4 linked regions of the Saccharomyces cerevisiae S288C genome follow. The gene in region 1 interacts genetically with each later gene. Each region holds a gene or a part of one and is shown in the gene's direction. Other genes may lie near its edges. The genes, in order: GEF1, CSG2, RIC1 and SUR1.

Region 1 (5,566 bases):
AAGACAGTGTTCCTCGACAAGTTTACTCTACAAGAAAAGGTATCTATTGGGCAGATGTGAATAATAATGTTTACAGAGATAGTGAGCGAATAGACTTTGAAATAAATGGCAGTTTCATTGCTACTAAAGATGGAACTCTATTGAAAGATAACACTATCGTTACTTTGGTCCCAATTCAAAGAGATAATGAGTGTAATTACGCATACGTCACAAAACAAGGTTATCTGAGGTGGAGTTTTTCAAAGGTTTATTACCGGATTCAAAACACGGGAGTTGATTTGACTATAGATAATTGCTTTTTATCTGCTATATCTAGCAAGGGCTCTTTTTTGACTGTACTTGTTCTGAATGATGAAATAACGGTATTTGATCATTGCAACCGTTTGAAAAGCCAGAAAGTAGTTTTCCATAGACTTTCTGACTTAGCGTCCATTTTCCTATATGAATACGAAAGCACGGTCTACATTTTCATGTCTGACACCGAAGGAAACCTTTGCGTTATGAAATTGGCAACTTTTGAGATCGTAGAAGAGGTTAAAATTTGCAAGAAGAAGTTACAGTTCTGTGAAGTCCCTAACTCAGATTATTTTTTTATATATACAGCCGATACTATAATTTTTTTCAAGCCAAGTAAAATAAAAGGTAGATTTAAAATCCAAGAAGTATATGCACCATGTCCTATAAGCTGTTTGATACCTGGAGAAAAAGATGGCTCAGTTGTTATGGTTACTTCTCAAGGTCAATTTTACGACGTACTTGTTCCTGGTGATGCCGGAAGGGCTACTCTTTGTTCTAAGTTTGAAAAAGTTTTAAAAACATGTCTCAAATTTATAACTTTGGAATCTTCATCAAGATATGTGATTGTAGCGGCCCTGCCAGTAGCAAATCCATTGCAGGACAAGTATTCCGAAATTTATGTGTATGATATTAAACAGTTCAAAAACATTTCCGCATTCAATTTTTCTAACCTCAACAATGATATCGAGAGTATAAAATATGAAAACGCTATGATATCAGATATTATTGCCGTACCCATGCTCAAAAGAACCGAAACATTAGGAAAAAGAAAGACTTCTGAGCTGTATAAGGAAGTGATTTTCAATTCATGTATCTTGGTGTCTCTAAATTTAGACTCAATAGACGGTATTGATAGTAAAAATATGAATAACCTATTATTGTTTTCATTTGATGAGGAATCGGGTTTTATTGAATTTGTTTTTGGGATTAACACGGGGTTCTCAATCAGTGGGTTACATAACTATTACAATGGATGTGTTTTGGTTTATGGGGAGTTTGTGCAAGCTTATCAACTGAACTATTCAGTTCATGATAACAAGTTCAGTATTGAACAGGTTTCAAATAGGTTGAATATTTCTGGTATTACAATAACATCATCTATATTTTTTGATAAAAGGAAGGCAAAGATGGCTAGGAAGCAGCAAAATATAGGTACATGGGTTTATTTGGAAGAAATGATTTTACTTGATGTACGGAAAGGTGTGATGAGGTTCAATGTCATCCATACAACAGACGGTAACATAGAAAAGGTTCAATTGCAGGTACAGCCTCTGAATTTATTTGAGAGGGACCTCATCAATAGCATTACCGACACCGGGAAAATGTTTACCGGTGCAGCCGCTATAACTTTCAAGAATATTAGGTATCTACTAATTTCGTACGGTGATCAAAAGCTCACGTTATTTAGTTTAAAACTTGATGGTGAGGAAGAAATAGACGAAAGAGTGTACCATGTTGCTGAGCAAGTTACAACCATCAACTCTGTAAGAACTACTGATTCCAGAATGAGCACGTTTTTAGGCGAATCTACATTTATGCCCTTATTCTTAGTAAGTACCTTGTCTAACGGTTGTTATGTGATCGGAATCCTGCATGAAGAGTCAGATATCTCATTACATATCTTATCAGAAAAGAAAGCTGTCTTCGCAAAGCGGTCGGTTCAAAAGTTCCTGGGCTTCCTCGATCCTCAAATGGATGATCACACTGTAATATCTGAAATTTAGTGTCTACGTTATGATATATACACTTACAAATTTACTTTCCTTTTTTAGTATAGTTTTCAAGTAAAATTCTTGAAGCGGTGTTGTTTTTGTTTGTTCTTCGTTTAGCAAAAGTCATTGTTAAATACACGCTATAATATGGCCATGACCGTAGGACCGAATGCTGTCCGAAAAATGATACTTATCACACATTTCAAATAAGATCGGTTTTGTAGTTCAAAGATTTCTTAAGAGCCTTTTACGTGTTTCTTAAGAAACACTTCACATTGGCTATCATTATTAGTAAATAGATTTATATGATTTTCACTTATTAAGGACAGAAATGTCGCGATTTCGAACCCATAAAAAAAGGAAAAGCACCGCCTGTTCTCCAGTCTTCATAAAAGCACACCGTATAGAAAGGGCGGTGAATGTTGATCTTGCATACTATAAAATTATTTGACACTAATGCCAACAACTTATGTGCCAATAAATCAACCAATTGGGGATGGTGAAGATGTCATTGACACCAATCGATTCACCAATATTCCAGAAACGCAAAATTTTGACCAATTTGTTACAATTGATAAGATTGCTGAGGAAAATAGACCACTGTCTGTAGACTCGGACAGGGAGTTCCTTAATTCAAAATATCGACATTACCGAGAGGTTATATGGGACCGTGCAAAAACATTTATCACATTAAGCTCTACGGCCATAGTTATTGGATGTATTGCTGGTTTCCTACAAGTCTTCACGGAAACTCTGGTTAACTGGAAAACAGGTCATTGTCAGAGGAACTGGCTACTTAATAAATCCTTCTGTTGTAACGGCGTGGTTAATGAGGTTACCTCTACAAGCAATTTACTACTGAAAAGACAAGAGTTTGAATGCGAGGCACAAGGGCTTTGGATTGCCTGGAAGGGACATGTGTCCCCTTTTATAATTTTCATGCTTTTGTCAGTCTTATTTGCTCTAATTAGTACACTGTTAGTCAAATATGTTGCTCCTATGGCTACTGGTTCAGGAATCTCAGAGATTAAGGTATGGGTATCAGGTTTTGAATACAATAAGGAATTTTTGGGTTTCTTAACATTAGTCATTAAAAGTGTTGCCCTTCCTTTGGCTATTTCTTCGGGATTAAGCGTAGGTAAAGAAGGGCCCTCAGTTCATTATGCAACCTGTTGTGGGTACTTACTCACAAAATGGCTACTAAGAGATACTTTGACGTATTCATCGCAATATGAGTATATCACAGCAGCTAGTGGAGCAGGTGTTGCGGTTGCTTTTGGTGCTCCTATTGGTGGTGTCCTTTTTGGTTTGGAAGAGATTGCTTCTGCGAATAGGTTTAACTCCTCTACCTTATGGAAATCCTATTATGTCGCCCTAGTCGCAATAACTACTTTGAAGTACATTGATCCATTTAGGAATGGCAGAGTTATTTTATTCAATGTAACATATGATAGAGACTGGAAGGTACAAGAGATTCCGATCTTTATAGCCTTAGGAATCTTTGGTGGTTTATATGGAAAATATATTAGTAAGTGGAACATCAACTTTATTCACTTTCGCAAAATGTACCTGTCCTCATGGCCAGTTCAAGAAGTGCTTTTTTTGGCGACGCTTACTGCTTTGATTTCTTACTTCAATGAGTTCTTGAAATTAGACATGACAGAAAGTATGGGTATATTGTTTCATGAATGTGTCAAGAACGATAACACCTCAACTTTTAGTCATAGGTTATGTCAGTTGGATGAAAATACGCACGCTTTTGAGTTCTTAAAAATTTTTACTTCCCTATGCTTTGCCACTGTTATCAGGGCCTTGTTGGTGGTGGTATCATATGGCGCCAGAGTTCCTGCCGGAATCTTTGTTCCTTCAATGGCGGTTGGGGCCACATTTGGACGGGCAGTAAGTCTACTGGTAGAGAGATTTATAAGTGGCCCTTCTGTTATTACTCCTGGTGCCTACGCCTTCCTGGGAGCAGCCGCTACCTTGAGCGGGATAACTAACTTGACTTTAACTGTGGTGGTAATAATGTTCGAGCTAACAGGCGCCTTCATGTATATCATACCCCTTATGATTGTAGTGGCAATAACAAGGATAATTTTAAGCACGTCTGGTATTTCTGGCGGTATTGCTGATCAAATGATCATGGTTAATGGATTCCCATATTTGGAAGACGAGCAAGACGAGGAAGAGGAGGAAACCTTAGAAAAATACACTGCAGAGCAGCTCATGTCCTCCAAATTAATTACTATTAATGAAACCATTTACCTTTCCGAGCTTGAATCTTTGTTGTACGACTCAGCGTCTGAATATTCTGTGCATGGTTTTCCAATAACTAAGGATGAGGATAAGTTTGAGAAGGAAAAAAGATGTATTGGCTATGTTTTAAAAAGGCACTTAGCCAGTAAAATCATGATGCAAAGCGTAAATAGCACCAAAGCTCAAACGACACTGGTATACTTCAATAAGTCTAACGAAGAGTTGGGACATCGTGAAAACTGCATCGGATTTAAGGATATTATGAATGAATCTCCAATCTCGGTGAAGAAGGCGGTGCCAGTAACATTGTTATTCCGTATGTTTAAAGAGCTAGGTTGTAAGACTATCATCGTAGAGGAAAGTGGAATTTTAAAGGGGTTGGTCACTGCTAAAGATATTTTGAGGTTCAAAAGAATTAAGTATCGAGAAGTTCACGGTGCGAAATTTACATATAATGAAGCACTTGATAGAAGATGTTGGTCAGTTATCCATTTCATAATCAAAAGGTTTACCACTAATCGAAATGGTAACGTTATATGATTAGACATTTATGTAATTTTTAAGGCGCTAGTATAGATTATTCAAAATTATATGATACAGACTTTTATCAATTTTTACTTGTTTAAGCTCCGTCACCCTGTTATTAAACGTGAGCAGAGAAATGCCTTTTGAAAACACACTAAAACACATAAGTTAATCTTCGCGCCATTTACCAACCTTTTTGTATTGGAGGTAAAGTGCTTTGAAATATTGTTTCCCAGGTGTGTCAAGGAAAGCGTTCAATTGATTCAACTCGTTCTGAGATAATATATCAAAAATCGCATGAATACCGGGCTGCAGACTCTTTTTTATGTTTAAACTGAACTGCGTCGTAATAGACAACTGTATATATTTCGTTAGAACCACAAGTACATTTTTTCTGATGGACTGCTTTATCAAACTTATCTTTGAGCTTAAGTTATTTTTCTGCCCATTTTGAGCGTTTGATACATTATAAGGCTCGCAGTAGTTCGTTATTAGTCTGGCTACGGCGTCTGCTGAATTTGCACACAATGTACCATCATGAATTGCTATTATTTCTAGTATCTGGCAAAGAACGGAGTTAAACAAATGGTGACGATTGGAAAATTTAAACCTGTGAACTAATAGCATATGATCTATCACTTCGATGATGTTAATAAAGCCTTCATTGATTTCATCCGTTGACTCATGGTTTACTATAAAAGCGAGAGTTTTTAAACAGAAAGGAAGCAGCATTTCAATACAGTATTGGCTGAATAGCCATGGTTTCGATACTAAGA
Region 2 (4,483 bases), on another chromosome or scaffold:
AGACTGATCATCATAGGAAGTAGTCGAAGTGAGGTATTTTTCCTTTTCATCGTCTGCTTCTGCCAGAGAGGGAGCCGTTGTGGAAGTAGTAGACATCGTGTATTTCGAGCTTTGAGAATACAATCTGCCACTTCCAAACAGATTGTTACTGGGCTGTTGCTGGGGTGATAGATGGTAGGGGTCTACCGGTAGATCTGCATTATCGCGGGGGTAAAGGTTACTCCCCTCACTTAGATGTATGACAGCCTCGCCTGCTCTTTTGGGAGACTCTTGTAGATTAGCAGCATACCTGTTCGGAGCAACTGGAGAGTTATGGGCACTATCGCGGTAAAATTGAGTTCTATGGCGACGGTCTGGGGAGTATCTTAGTGCAGCTCTCGAAGGAGATGCCGGAAGGCCTTGGAAAACGTTAGATTGGTCATAGCTATCCTCCAAACTCTCCTCACTGGGATTAGCCCACCGAGAGTTGCTGTTAGCGTTTGCGTAAAATTTGGAGAGGTTTGAAGCACCACGTCTATTAGGAGAGCCATTCGAAGGTTCCACCATAAACGGGTTTCTCGTCATTTCTATATGTGGTTCTTTGGTTTTTATTTGGGTCTATATGTAACTTCCTCTGTTTTCTCTTCTGAGTCACGAAATCAACAGTAATATTATGGAAGATAGTTAAATAGACTGGGGCCATCCCAAGGGAGAGTCCTCGAATTCCCAATTGAAACTAAATTGAAGTTCTGTAAATTTCAATATCGATGCTATCATACTCAAATAGGAAATATATAAACAAATAGTATAGGGGTTTATACTAGGGTTTTAAACCCCAAAAAACTAACCCTACTATCTTCTTTTCAGACCCTAAATTGAAGGAAATAAACGGGAATAATAATCAATAGCGATCTCCCGAAGAGAAAAGTGAGAAAATAGTATAATTGTGTCTATTGTGTTTATAATCGGCATTAGAAACGTATGTTCGTATAAGGCAAGGGAAACAGAAAAAACAGCAAACGTAGAAAAGATGCTGAAGTTGTCAAGAAGTGCCAATCTAAGATTGGTCCAATTGCCAGCCGCAAGATTAAGTGGCAATGGCGCTAAATTGCTCACTCAAAGGGGATTCTTTACTGTAACGCGCTTATGGCAGTCAAATGGCAAGAAACCATTAAGCAGAGTACCTGTGGGCGGTACTCCCATTAAGGATAACGGCAAAGTGCGAGAAGGCTCGATCGAGTTTTCCACGGGAAAGGCCATTGCTCTATTCCTAGCAGTCGGTGGGGCACTTTCTTATTTCTTCAACAGGGAGAAACGCAGATTGGAAACACAGAAGGAGGCTGAAGCAAACAGAGGATACGGTAAACCTTCACTTGGGGGACCCTTCCATCTGGAGGATATGTATGGCAATGAGTTTACGGAGAAAAACCTTCTCGGTAAGTTTTCTATAATATACTTTGGGTTTAGTAACTGTCCTGACATCTGTCCTGATGAACTGGATAAGCTAGGTCTATGGCTTAATACACTCTCTTCAAAGTATGGTATTACTCTGCAGCCATTATTTATAACTTGTGATCCAGCAAGAGACTCCCCTGCTGTATTGAAAGAGTATTTGAGCGACTTTCATCCCTCCATCCTGGGTTTGACGGGGACGTTCGATGAGGTGAAGAACGCATGCAAGAAGTACAGAGTATACTTTTCTACGCCTCCAAACGTCAAACCGGGCCAAGATTATTTGGTAGACCATTCCATCTTCTTTTATCTCATGGACCCTGAAGGACAGTTTGTTGATGCTTTGGGTAGAAATTATGATGAAAAAACGGGCGTGGACAAGATCGTGGAACACGTTAAGAGTTATGTGCCTGCAGAGCAGCGCGCCAAGCAGAAGGAGGCATGGTACTCCTTCTTATTCAAATAAGATTGTAAATATATGCTACTTTCTTCCTTGTATATACATATATACTTATAACGCTATAACCCGTTCTTGTAATATCGGCTATCACCCGGCGAAGGTGTATCGCAAGAAAAAAAAAAGCTCTCTCACTCTAAAGGAGGCTATGTGAACGTGGGAAGATCAAGTGAAAGAAATGTTTGTAGGCCATTTTCTTCCAGAACAGATCCGCTCTTGAGCTGGTGAGTTAGCACGATAACAAACAAAGATACAGCGTCATGTCTACCACACTACTTTGGTTTTCAAGTGTAATAGGCTACGTGATTCAAACAAAATGTTTGTCTAACATACAATCTAAAAAGGAAATCTCCGTGGGGCCCAATGGTACAATTGCAACGCCTGAAACTAACGGCGACAACGGAAACTCAAGTTCATTAACCTTCTATCTGACCTTTATGTATTTTGCTTCGTGGCTGCTCTTGGTGCCTGCATCTCGACTTTGGGAGAAGATGAGACCGATGTTTGTCTCTGACTCAGACTCGAACAGGAATTCTCAGTTTGACAACAACAACAGCGGGTCTGTGACAAACGAAGATGTCGATACGTTCTCGCACGTGTTGGATGATCCTCAACCACGGATTCCAGCCCAACAGCAGAAGCAAAAAATCATATCCGTGGCTACCTTCAAATATGTGGCTAAGCTAACAGTGCTGGCTCTCATAATGATTGTCGCTGATTTGACTTATAACATGGCTTTGTCATTGTCACCGGCATTTGATGTTGCTTTGATGCAAAATACTGCCATTTTCGAAATTGTCACTTTACTATATGGTGTTTGTGGAATCTCCAGGAAGAACTACGTTTTCCGTAATTTCCTCATCATGATGAACGCGGTCATTGGAATTTTGATCATCTCATACACGAAGGCTACCTGTGACATGCTTGCCGGAAAGCTGTCCGTCAACCCTAACACGGGTGAACTTTCTGACCCATTCTTGTTTGATAGGTTGAAAGGTGCTCTGATTTGCGGCCTTGGTGCTTTGATTATGGGTCCTTTTGCCGTGTTATGGAACCGTTGGTTTTGCAGTAACATTTCCAAGAACGAAAATTCTGCTGTAGTCTTGGTTAAGCAGAGCACCCACATGGCCCTAATCGGTATTATTGGCATGGTAATACTTTTGCCATTTATTCCTAAATTTCCCTCCCGTGAGTCTGTGGAATCCATTTCGTTGTTCTATAATGACAAGAGCTTTTGGTTCTCTCTACTAGGCTCGATTATCTTTGGTTCCTTGCCGAGCTTGATTTCGATATTAGAGTTGAATCGCAAGGCCCCTGCTGAGTATTTGACGACGTGCAACCTGGGAGCTATTATCTTTATGGGGTTAGCTGAGTGGGTTTGCGAACCTACGCAAACCACAATTGTGAGATGGGAAGTCATAGGATACATAATGCTAACGGTAAGTTTGTTGGTCCTATCAGTAACACTCGGGGAAGGTAAATACCACCATTAGTACGGACAACATACTTTATATGACTGATGATGATGTAACAAGCATATGCAATTATTTGGTTTCCCTAAATAAAAAATCCCAATCAATATCTTGATTATTTTCAAGACAATTACTAGGATGTTCTTCTATTTTTTTATTTTTATTTGTATATTGTATATTCTAAAAAGAAGAAGCCATTTGGTGGGCTTTATTATAAATATTAAGAGGCATACCTCCGCCTATCCGCCTATCCTCGTCATGAACAATCAATTAAAAGCGCTTATAAAGCGATATACAAGTACAGTACGCGCGATTTCTACAATACAAAAAATATACATCAAGAAAAAAAATGTTTCCAAAAATTATCTAAATGCATCGAAGGCATTAGGAGAAGTAGCTGTGAATACAACACCAAGATTCATAAAATGAACACACGGTTCCTTCCGCTTGGAAAATAATGCGACAAAAATACCGTATTGATCATCAAAGTAGTTTTAATAGATACCTAAAAAAACCATCTTGAAAAATCTCAAATTACGTTCTTGATCTTGTGTCATTGTTCAGTTACTGATCGCCCGCAAACCTAACCGATGCTTAAGAAAGGACACCCTTGCCTTTTGGCTTATTTACCTACTCGTATTTTTCTCTGTCACATCGTTCGATGTACGGGGCACATTTGGAAATTTCATCAGTAAGTTCAGTGAATAGATTTTTTATTTTACCTTTTTGTAGTGGGATTTATTCTTTTAAAGGCAAAAATCTACTGAAAAAACGGAAAAAACTAGAATAAACCATTTCTATATATACTCATGTTCCCTGACGTTCTTTTTCCTTTTTCTTTTTCCAGAGTTAACGATAAGATAGACATAAAGTGACAGCGCTTAGCACCGTCTGTTTGCAAATCTAACTTAAACTCCTTTTTTTCTGTCACCTTAAACAGTGTCAGAAAAAATACTAGGTATAAGAAAACGAGAAAAAAATAAACAGCGAACTCGTGCAAACTTTGCTAATAAACAATTAGCTGTAACATTTGTGTGTGGGTGTGGTGATGGTAGGCTTCCCATGGTAATTAAAAGGTTAGGTCGAGAAGAGGATCGGTACGAAGAAGGAATAACAGGAATAA
Region 3 (6,567 bases), on another chromosome or scaffold:
TCAACCTCAATCTTTTGTGTTTGAACAAGCATGTATGAGGGGTCAAAATTTAGTGGAGGCCGCTTACAATCCTTCTATTTCCTCTGGACCTCATTAGCCGTCTGGCCAGACCTAAGCGTCATAATCTGGAGAATTTCATTGCATGCGAGAATATGATAAGTAAGAACTTGTTTATTTATACAAGTTCCACCCACTCATACACGGCTACAATTATGACGTATAATAACGTTTCGTCTAGCCCACCTTTTTTACTTTTGACGTTTTATTTCTTTCGAGGATTTGGCCAAGAATGCCCCGAACAGCGGAAAAAATGGCGTCGCAGTTTCAGATGTATAGACTCATCTTGTAGAAAAAAGAATGCAAGAATGAAGTCTTTTCGTGGTGTTTTGAAAACACTATAAACAAACCGTCAACAAACATTTTGTATAAATATTTAGCTATATATTGAATATCTTGACCAGTAAAGCACCTTGAGAAATTGTAAGCTTGAAGAACGTACTTTGATATCCCTCCGTTTCATCATCCTATAGCTCGTCAACAAATCAAAAAAAATATGAAGATCAGTCAATTTGGCTCTTTAGCTTTCGCCCCAATTGTGCTACTACAACTGTTCATTGTTCAAGCGCAACTTCTCACAGATTCAAATGCTCAGGATTTGAATACTGCCCTTGGACAGAAAGTGCAATACACCTTTCTTGACACTGGAAATTCTAACGATCAACTACTTCATCTTCCAAGCACCACCTCTTCCAGCATTATTACTGGTTCATTAGCTGCTGCTAATTTCACCGGTTCTTCATCATCGTCGTCTATACCAAAAGTCACTTCCAGCGTCATAACATCTATAAATTACCAATCCTCAAATTCTACGGTAGTCACCCAGTTCACGCCATTGCCTTCTTCGTCGAGAAATGAAACAAAAAGCTCTCAAACAACTAATACTATAAGTTCAAGTACAAGCACAGGAGGTGTAGGTTCAGTCAAGCCATGTCTTTACTTCGTTTTAATGTTAGAAACAATCGCTTATTTGTTTTCTTAAACAAATATATTAGGTTCAAGGTCTTCGCAGGTGTAAGAAAACCCGTGGTCTCCATATTCTTAAGTATGATAAATAAAAAAAAACTTAATAAATTATTAATTGCTTCAAACCTTTTTCTTTTTTTAGTTTTTAATATTTCAAACGTTATCTTCATTGAACGCCCAAATAGGGAAAAATCCTGGCAAATTTTTTATTGCTGTCATCCAAGGCTATGCTAGAAAATTCAAGAGCTTGGATGATTTAAAAAGACACTCTCAATCGAGAAAGTTTATTCTTTGTTATTCTGCTTTACCTGATCATATTCCGGCGTATTGTTTCTAATCAAGTGATTTCGATATCCAGTTACGAACCATTTACAACATTCCTGAAAATATTGCGTATCAATGATATTTGCTCCTTCTTTCTCCCTCATTAAAAATATTCTCCTGGTAAGCTTTCTAATCAGCCACAGTTTTGCTGCCAAAACTTTAACGTCTAGTTCCAATGACGATACACTTGCCAGGTCCGCAGCTGCAGATGCAGACATGGCATTCTTCATGGAGTTTTTAAACGATTTCGACACCGCTTTTCCACAGTATACCTCATACATGATGCAAAACCATTTAACCCTACCTCAACCTGTTGCTGACTACTACTATCACATGGTTGATTTGGCCTCAACAGCAGATTTACAATCTGATATTGCTCAGAGTTTTCCGTTCACTCAATTCCAAACATTCATTACGGCCTTTCCATGGTATACCTCTTTGCTAAACAAAGCCTCCGCCACCACCATATACCTTCCCCAACACTTCATAACAGGTGAGACAGAAGCTACCATGACTAACTCATCTTATGCCAGCCAAAAAAACTCCGTTTCCAATTCTGTTCCTTTCTCGACAGCGAACGCAGGCCAGTCCATGATTTCCATGGCTAATGAAGAAAACAGTACAACAGCACTTATATCCGCATCAAACTCTTCTTCAACATCCAGAACTAGTCAATCACAGAATGGTGCCCATGCCAAAAGCTTATATTTCCCCATGGCGTTGTTCGGAATCTTTGCAGTTGCCCTTTAAGTGCCTCAACCAAATTTGACAATTTAATTCCATGGGAGGTCCGCCATCCCTTTTCGCTTTTTTTATAATATGTGTATTATTTATACAAATATGTATATAAGTATGTACTTTTTCAATGGACAATTCGATTTTAAGAGCGTTTTTAGTGACAACGATGAACATCAACTTTGTACAGTATCAAACGATTTATTTTTAACATATTATTATAACTTCTGAATGGCGTTGCCATCTTGGCCAAAATCTTGTCTTTTCTGTCGTTTTATGGCAGGCTTTTGTTCTTTGATGTTAATTCGGCAATACCGACGCCTTTGATGTTCATCAAACAGTCTGAAAAAAATACACCTAAATGCCTCTACAAAAAAAAAGGTAAGGTAAGAGTGTTATTGACCGGAAGCTGTAAGAAACTGAACACGTGGAAAATGCACTTATGGCCAGTCAGTCCGCCCCAATTGCTTAGAATTCCACCCCGCAACGCCGAATTAGGTGAGGGTACTAAAATAGATGATTGCAATATTCTTCAATCAATGACACTACCCCAGGCCAATGTTCTTATCATGCTAACCCCAACAAGAGTGCTCATTTACAACTTCAAACCAATGGCACTAGTAGCTAGCCATGAACGAACAATGGCTTCTCTTAAGGAATTTGGCGATAACAGATCAATGAAACGATCAGCTCCATATAATGATATCATCGAAGGGCTTATTTCAAAAAAGGACTCGCAATACTTATTGTGGCACCAGGGAAAGCTGATATTTTACGTAATGACTGATAAAAACTTCCTTTTAACATACCAAATTTTAAAAAACTGCACAAATGAAATAATTTTCAAAGAATACGGCATACCCGTCATAGAGCCTCTTTTAATGAGTGAAGAAGAAGCGAACAGTGCTGAATATGACTATAACAACGATGATGATACTCTCACGGTATTTGATAAAAATAGTTCTTCAAGAATTATACAGAATGGATTTGGCATAACTAAGGAAAAAGGGTTTTTACACTTTCTTTCTAATCAAGAAAACATTGATGAACTCCCCGTGAAAAAACTAGAACTTCGTTTAAAAGTAGTTCTTAAATTTGACTATGAAATCATAGACATGATTGGCATCAAGACATTTTCCAAAGTCGGGGATGGGCGTTATGAAGAAGTTTTGATAGTTTTATTCCCTCATGGATTACAAATACTTACAATATCGGATTTTAAAGTTAGCAAGAGCTCGTTGGTTGAAGTGAAGAAGGGATCCAAGACAATTGTGTGTAATAAACAATTAATGGTTTTATCTCATGATTCCGTCGAAAAGCAGACTATTGTAAGCATTATAGACATTGAAAAGCAAGCTGTTGAAGCAATACCGTTAACGGACACACCAGATGAACTTTTGACTTGCCTAGAAGTTAATGGATACCTGGTGGTCGTTTACAAAGAAAAAATAATCTGCTTTGATACAAGAATTAAAAAAGTAAGCCATTCTTGGAAACCACCATTTGTGATAAAACTTTGCGATAAAATTAATGATAAAATATTACTTTTGGTTTCTGAGGATAGTGTTAACATTCATTTTTACACAGAATTTGGGAATCTGCTATTCGCTACATATTTTGACGAAGATGATTATAATGGTGATAACAATAATGACAACAGCAAGGATAAAAATGAGAAAAAGGCGGCTGAATATAAAATTTCTGATTTTGTATGCTTGGATAAATCACTAATAACAGTGTCTCATTCCGGAAAATATCAAGTTTGGAAATTATGGGAAGAAATAAAACAAACACAATTTGATTTCAGAAACCCAAAATGTTACGTATTAACCAATACGAACAATGATGTAATCATATATTCACCTGTGACAAGTTCTTCAATCAATAATGATAATTTACAAGTCATAAAACTTCCTACAAAGACTTTCAATAATCATATTGCTTTTGTAAAAATTAATTCTTCCTTGAGGTTATTTGCTACTTATGTGTCGAACAAAAACATACTGCTTATCCACAATCTAGAGACCAATATGTGGTCTAGTTTTGCTGACCAAAACGTGTTGGATTTACATTGGCTAGGTGATAATTATTTGGTTTGTCATATGAAGAATGATGATGGCTCAACAAATCTGAAATGTCTGCAGATTCCACTGCAAGAAGCGAATCCGGACGTGGAACTATCAGATTATGTCATGTGGGAATACAATGTTCCAGAGAATACGATTGTTTTCAGTTTACATGTTAATACTTTATCCCGGTATAAGTTGTTGAAAATGAAATCCAAGAATCACAATGCTTCTGAAAAACAACCTGATGCATTGCTTAAAACTGCCGAGATTATTTTAGTTACTGATACACAGACAATTGTCTTCGATGTAATTTCTACTGTACATCCATGTGGATTAAACATCATCAAAAAATTCTACCAGTATCTCAAAATTAACATTCCAATTGATGTTTTACCCAACAAAATTGAGTGGATAATTAACATGAAGGAGGGCTTGTTATTTTTTGCCGATAGGAAATTTATAAAGCTTGGCAAAGTGGATGGAGGGGGCTGGCAAACCTTAACTTTGTTGGATAACATAGAAAAAATAATCGATGTTATCAGGGACGAAATATTTGTAGTTCAAGGCCATAATTACGTCGTATACTCTTTGGAAGATTTATGGGATGATAAAAAGCCACTAGTTTCCATTCCAATCGAAGAAGATTTGTATCCAATATCAACCACCCCAGAAACAGCTACAACACATACACTTCACTGCATTTTTAACGCGCGATTTTCCAAATTGGTGGTGAAACACCAAATATACCTCGACCAATTAATCTTAGCCAAATTAGAAGACAACACAGATTTGGAGGATATTTCACACAATTATCGTTTTTTAAAGCCTTACAAATTTGCACTCGAAAAGATTTTGTCTACTAAAATACTGCGAAGCGACTCTTTGGATGATATCCTGAAATTAATTAAGATGTATGACAACACCGATCCTGAGCATAATATTTCACCACCAACCCACAGTGGTATGTTAGAAATTATTAGTAATTGTTTAAGGAAGATCGAAACTAAATACTGGAACCATCTATTCACTAATCTAAAGATGACACCAAGAGATTTATTAGCACTCTGTATCGAAGAAAATGAGGCTAAAATGCTTGGCGTACTTCTGTTAGTGTTTTTAAATTACGATGAGAAAGATTTGGGAGATGATCTACATTTTAAGAAATCAGATTTAGGGACTGAGGAAAGCAAAGCTCTAAATGATAACTCTACAAAAAAGTCAGAGAAATCTGTCACTAATTTATTGAAGGATGAAGAATTAATGCTTAAAGTCTTAGAGCTTTTGGTGACAAGTGCTGCAAACGCCACAGACCCAATTAAAGCTACCGATTCGTGGGACATGTGTTTCCAATTAATACGCTTACTCAAGGAATTAGACAGAGAAAACAACACACAATTGGTTCAAAAAGCACTCGAGAGATTCAAATAAATCTATATGACACCATGTATTCTTTACCATATAGCTTCATAACATTGACCAATCAATTTTCAGAAATGCGTCGCGCGTAGTTTTGCCCGATATCCCCATCCCTTCAGGATCTTTAAAAGGTGATGAAAGATGCACCAGATAGAAAAGTTGCATTAAAATGATTAGCAGAGATATACAAATATTTTAGTAAGAATACATAAAGTATCTTTGCTTTCACAAATAGGAACAAGCACATAAATACAGTATAATAGACATGGCTGATCAAGAAAACTCTCCACTACATACAGTTGGTTTCGATGCTAGATTTCCCCAACAAAACCAAACAAAGCATTGTTGGCAATCTTATGTGGATTATCACAAGTGTGTTAATATGAAGGGCGAAGATTTTGCTCCGTGCAAGGTCTTTTGGAAGACCTATAACGCCTTATGTCCCCTAGACTGGATCGAAAAATGGGATGATCAAAGAGAAAAAGGTATTTTCGCAGGTGATATCAACTCAGACTAAGGATCTTAGTTTCGTTTTTAGTAATGTGCACTTAGCCTTTTTTATATCATTATTATTAATTACTAGAATTCATTTTTGCGTAGTAGACCTACACGGGATGAAGGATATCTATATGAAAAGTAAAGTAACAATAGGAGATAATGAAAAAGTGATATCATACGCTAACGAATGTTCATGATGGAGCCAAATTCCTAAAAATCAAACAAACAGAAAAAAATGAGAATGATGTGGGGTACTGAAGTTTTATTTTTCATATTTATTTTTAATTATAGTAAGTAGCCATTTCTATATATATTCAAAAATTATTTGACCCTCGTAACATCTGCCACTGCACTGAAAAGAACAAGGCAATGGATAACGCTGATAAAGACGTCAGCATGAACTTTCAATTCACTGAGATAGCAACATTTTCGAGGATTATATAAGGGGTACTAATCTCTTCTAGTCATCGTTTGAAATACATTCAGGCTGAGAAAGATAAAC
Region 4 (4,299 bases), on another chromosome or scaffold:
GCAGAATTATACTGTGGTACCTTGAAGATAAGAATACCGTACCACAACATGTTAATCTCCACATCATTTTATTACTAGCACTGCCACACCGTGCACCCCATACAGGATGTTGTCTGCACCTTTTCTTCCTATCATCTTTTTTATCCCACATCATACTGTGGCGGGCCTGTAGTAGAGCTCCCTTTCACCTTGGCGTTTTAAGGGGCGGGGCAAGAGTGGCGGGGAATTCCGCCGTTCCGAATTGAAAAAAAAGACACTTTGTACGGGCCATTACCCTGTGAAGTTCTTTTTTTTCTCTTATTTTCATCAGAGAGAATGAATCAACTGCGATGAAAGGAAAGAACACCACATTTATTACGAGGCAGAAGAGGTGACCAAAAAACCGCAGTAAAGTATGAGCGGATACACGGGAAATAATTATAGCAGATACTCATCCACTCCTCCGAGACAAAGGGGGGGTTATCACCATGCGAGACGAAGTAGAGGTGGAGCAGGCGGATCGTATTACAGAGGCGGTAATGCGTCTTATGGCGCGAGATACAACAGTGACTATGAGCAGCCGCCCCAAGAGGGAGACTTGAGACAAACCGGAGCATACTATCGAAACGGATACACAGATACAAGGCCGTACTATTCAGCTAATAGCAGGCATTACCAAGCACAACCATCCCCCAGGTACAACAATGGTACAAATTCGTACCACCTACCGCAACGTGGCAATAGTCAAGATACGAACGGCAGGACCACGAGCGCCTCGCAAGAAGATAATGACGAAAAAAGAGTCAAGTCCAGATACCGGAACATGCAGGCAGATCATCCACGCCAACAACCGATGAGCGTTGGCAGCACCAGCAGCAGAAATGGTAGTAGTGGGAACAGCAGCACTAGCAGCACCAGCAACGGGCTTCCGCCACCACCTTCAGTATCGTCTATAACCAACAATAGATCATATCACAGCAGTGCTTATCCATATTCCAGCAGCCATACTTACAATAATTACCACCACCGTGAGACACCACCGCCTCCCCCATCGAATGGCTATTATGCAAAGGGTTACCCAGTACACGTACCAGAAAATAGAAGTAACAGCGACGGCTCTAGCAGCAGCGTCGTCAAGAAGAAAAGAATACTAGATATGAAAGATTCCCCCTTTATTTACTTGACAGATTTTGATAAAAATGTGAAAAAGACAAACAACACCGAAAGTGAATGTGAAAAGGCGAGGGAAGTTTTCAAAGAGAGCGATTCCATCGATTCCGCTTTGGAAGAACTAAACCTAAAAATCAATTCTAATGAGCTAGAATTGCGGCTCCTAAATAACCAGTGCGACAAGCATGCATTAAATATTCAACTGACCCAAGAAAAGCTGGACTCATTGTTATTAATGCAGTAGGGTATACCGTACCTATAAATAGATAAACTACGTAAACGCAAGCGGCGGAAATTGAAAAAGGAAATTATAAGGAAGTGACTAGCGTTTTGATTTCATGAATCGAGAAAAGGTACTGCTAGGTTAAGCCCGATTAGGTAAAGAGCCAGGAAAGCGACTAGGAAAGCGACTACGAAAAAAGAAAAAACTGCGAAACTGTGAAAGTGCGTGTCAGCCATCTGTCTTTGGAATCGATTATCTATTTGCTTTGATCCCCTTTATGAAGAACGCAGCATTGTGTGAGGCTCTTCCTCTGCTCGCCACGTGCTCCCACGAAATCCCACCCACACCACACACGGTCTGTTTCGTCTTCCCCCCCGCATTATTACTATCCCCGAGCAAACTCACACTTTTGAATTCGCGTCGCGTCGCGTCGCGCTGCGTCATTATCATTGACCCACGCTTGCTGCGTCTCTTCTCTTGCTCCCGGCCACAACAACTCCCCCGGGATAAAAACCAATCTTTTGCTAAGCCATCTTTTTCTTTTTTTTTCTTTCTTCTTACCTCGTTATTATCGCCTTTCTAAACTTCCTTGGCCAAGCCTTTCAGCGGTGCTTTTTTGTTCTCACGTCCACTGCCAATTTCCACATTTTTTTCCCCTCTTGTTATATATAAACTTTTCTACTTGGAAAAAATGGTTAGAGGAGTGAAGACACAGGGAGGAGGCTTACGCAGATATTTTACGTTTTCTGCTTTTTCTTTTCTAATATAGTTAAATAAAAGGTGCCAACATTCCCGTCATATTTTGCTTCGCATGTTTTGTTTTCTTTAACCTGTTGTAATATTCATCATCGGATTCAAATAAACACATACAAACAAACAATAAATCGGAAGACACTTTTCATTTTCGCATATTTGCTTTACTCTATTTTTCTGATTTTCCGCTGTTGCACTCACGATGAGAAAAGAATTAAAATACCTTATCTGCTTCAACATACTCCTCCTGTTATCTATAATATACTACACTTTCGATTTGCTAACGTTGTGTATTGACGATACTGTTAAAGATGCTATACTTGAGGAAGACTTAAATCCAGATGCACCTCCAAAGCCTCAACTAATACCTAAAATCATACATCAGACTTATAAAACGGAAGACATCCCTGAGCACTGGAAAGAGGGTAGACAAAAATGTCTCGATCTACATCCAGATTACAAGTACATCCTATGGACGGACGAGATGGCCTATGAGTTTATAAAGGAAGAATACCCGTGGTTTCTCGATACTTTTGAGAACTACAAATACCCCATAGAACGTGCCGATGCCATTCGTTACTTTATCCTGTCCCATTATGGTGGTGTATACATCGATTTAGATGACGGCTGCGAAAGGAAACTAGATCCTTTGTTAGCTTTCCCGGCCTTCTTAAGAAAGACTTCACCTTTAGGTGTCTCAAACGATGTCATGGGTTCTGTGCCTAGACATCCCTTCTTTTTAAAGGCTTTAAAGTCTTTGAAACACTATGACAAGTACTGGTTTATCCCTTACATGACTATTATGGGGTCTACTGGTCCGTTGTTTTTAAGTGTTATTTGGAAGCAGTACAAAAGATGGCGCATACCTAAGAACGGGACAGTAAGAATCCTACAACCTGCTTACTACAAGATGCATAGTTATTCATTTTTCTCCATTACTAAAGGCTCTTCATGGCATTTAGATGATGCAAAATTGATGAAAGCACTAGAAAACCACATCTTATCCTGCGTCGTTACCGGATTTATTTTTGGCTTCTTTATCCTATATGGTGAATTCACGTTCTATTGCTGGTTGTGTTCCAAGAATTTCAGTAATCTAACCAAAAATTGGAAACTTAATGCTATAAAAGTAAGATTTGTCACAATTCTAAATTCATTAGGCTTAAGACTAAAGTTGAGTAAAAGTACCAGTGATACTGCCAGTGCCACTTTGCTGGCAAGGCAGCAGAAACGATTGAGGAAAGATTCCAATACAAACATAGTGTTACTAAAATCTTCAAGGAAAAGTGATGTTTACGATTTAGAAAAGAATGATTCTTCTAAGTACTCACTGGGAAATAACAGCTCGTAAGAGAATGGTATGACTCCAACAATTCATATCAGACTTTATATTTCAATTCGCGGCAAAAAAAGCAAAAGAAATGGGAAGGAAAATTGCATGGGATGAAAAAAAAATACAAAATTGATACAAATCTCTAGCAGCCTGAAGACCAGTCTTGTACTTCGCTACTTTGCAAGACAAGGAGTACTATTTGCTCGCTTCTTACGACATACTACTCCGCTTGGCACGCCTGTCTACCTTGCTTTTTTTGCTCGTCATTTTTTTTTTTCGCATGCTCCCTATTTCATGTTACAATTTACGACCTCCAGCATCAACATAATCATTCTTCAAACCAGGCCTGTTTTATTACTGTGATATTACCCTCTATACTACGATATCTTTGTTTTGCATTTTACATTCAACTTTTATATATATATATATAAATATAACCTAAAAGAATATGAACACTTCCTCACAACAAAAACTAGGATAACAACCGTGTGTGGGCGCCGCTCCGGTCAATGCGTGCGTGCTTTTGCGCGCGCCTTATGCTCAGAAACATCGCAACGGAGTAAGAATGTTCTCTTTTCCCTATTGCACAGACTAATTTAGAAATGTAATTACTCGACTAGTAGCCGCTCGAAGAGTGCCATTTACTTTTCCGCGTTTCGGTTTCGGCTTTCAATTGTTTAGTTTAGACTTTCAGGCGCCTGACTACGATTTACCTCATCAGGACTTTCGCGCCGAAAATAGACCTTATATTATTCTGACGATAGTGGCCTCTAAACCAAAGATGGATTGTTTACCAGCCGGCAGGACTCTGTTGATTTGTTTCACCTGTGATGGTGGACGG

Evidence for each region.
Region 2: mutations in GEF1 (region 1) and CSG2 together harm fitness more than expected from each alone (negative genetic interaction), as found in Saccharomyces cerevisiae (2 studies listed by BioGRID).
Region 3: mutations in GEF1 (region 1) and RIC1 together harm fitness more than expected from each alone (negative genetic interaction), as found in Saccharomyces cerevisiae (5 studies listed by BioGRID, with this or other methods).
Region 4: mutations in GEF1 (region 1) and SUR1 together harm fitness more than expected from each alone (negative genetic interaction), as found in Saccharomyces cerevisiae (4 studies listed by BioGRID).

What each region holds. Positions count from the first base shown.
Region 1 is NC_001142.9:505,281-510,846, forward strand, and holds GEF1 (Gef1p), read left to right. Parts: upstream 1-2,465; coding exon 2,466-4,805; downstream 4,806-5,566. Other genes in the region: MLO127 (Mlo127p), read left to right, coding at 1-2,021; ribosome biogenesis protein URB2, read right to left, coding at 4,959-5,566. UniProt on the Saccharomyces cerevisiae protein: Anion/proton exchange transporter involved in iron and copper cation homeostasis. Involved in intracellular iron metabolism during growth on fermentable and non fermentable carbon sources.
Region 2 is NC_001134.8:307,979-312,461, reverse strand, and holds CSG2 (mannosylinositol phosphorylceramide synthase regulatory subunit), read left to right. Parts: upstream 1-2,148; coding exon 2,149-3,381; downstream 3,382-4,483. Other genes in the region: chitin synthase CHS2, read right to left, coding at 1-564; Cu-binding protein SCO1, read left to right, coding at 1,010-1,897. UniProt on the Saccharomyces cerevisiae protein: Required for calcium regulation. May regulate calcium accumulation by a non-vacuole organelle. Also regulates the activity of CSH1 and SUR1 during mannosyl phosphorylinositol ceramide synthesis.
Region 3 is NC_001144.5:224,438-231,004, reverse strand, and holds RIC1 (Ric1p), read left to right. Parts: upstream 1-2,408; coding exon 2,409-5,579; downstream 5,580-6,567. Other genes in the region: NFG1 (Nfg1p), read left to right, coding at 554-1,039; AFB1 (Afb1p), read left to right, coding at 1,423-2,097; COX12 (cytochrome c oxidase subunit VIb), read left to right, coding at 5,833-6,084.
Region 4 is NC_001148.4:451,086-455,384, reverse strand, and holds SUR1 (mannosylinositol phosphorylceramide synthase catalytic subunit SUR1), read left to right. Parts: upstream 1-2,327; coding exon 2,328-3,476; downstream 3,477-4,299. Other genes in the region: LGE1 (Lge1p), read left to right, coding at 395-1,393; LCL1 (Lcl1p), read left to right, coding at 1,650-1,955. UniProt on the Saccharomyces cerevisiae protein: Involved in the synthesis of mannosyl phosphorylinositol ceramide. Catalyzes the addition of mannosyl to phosphorylinositol ceramide. Suppressor of RVS161 mutation.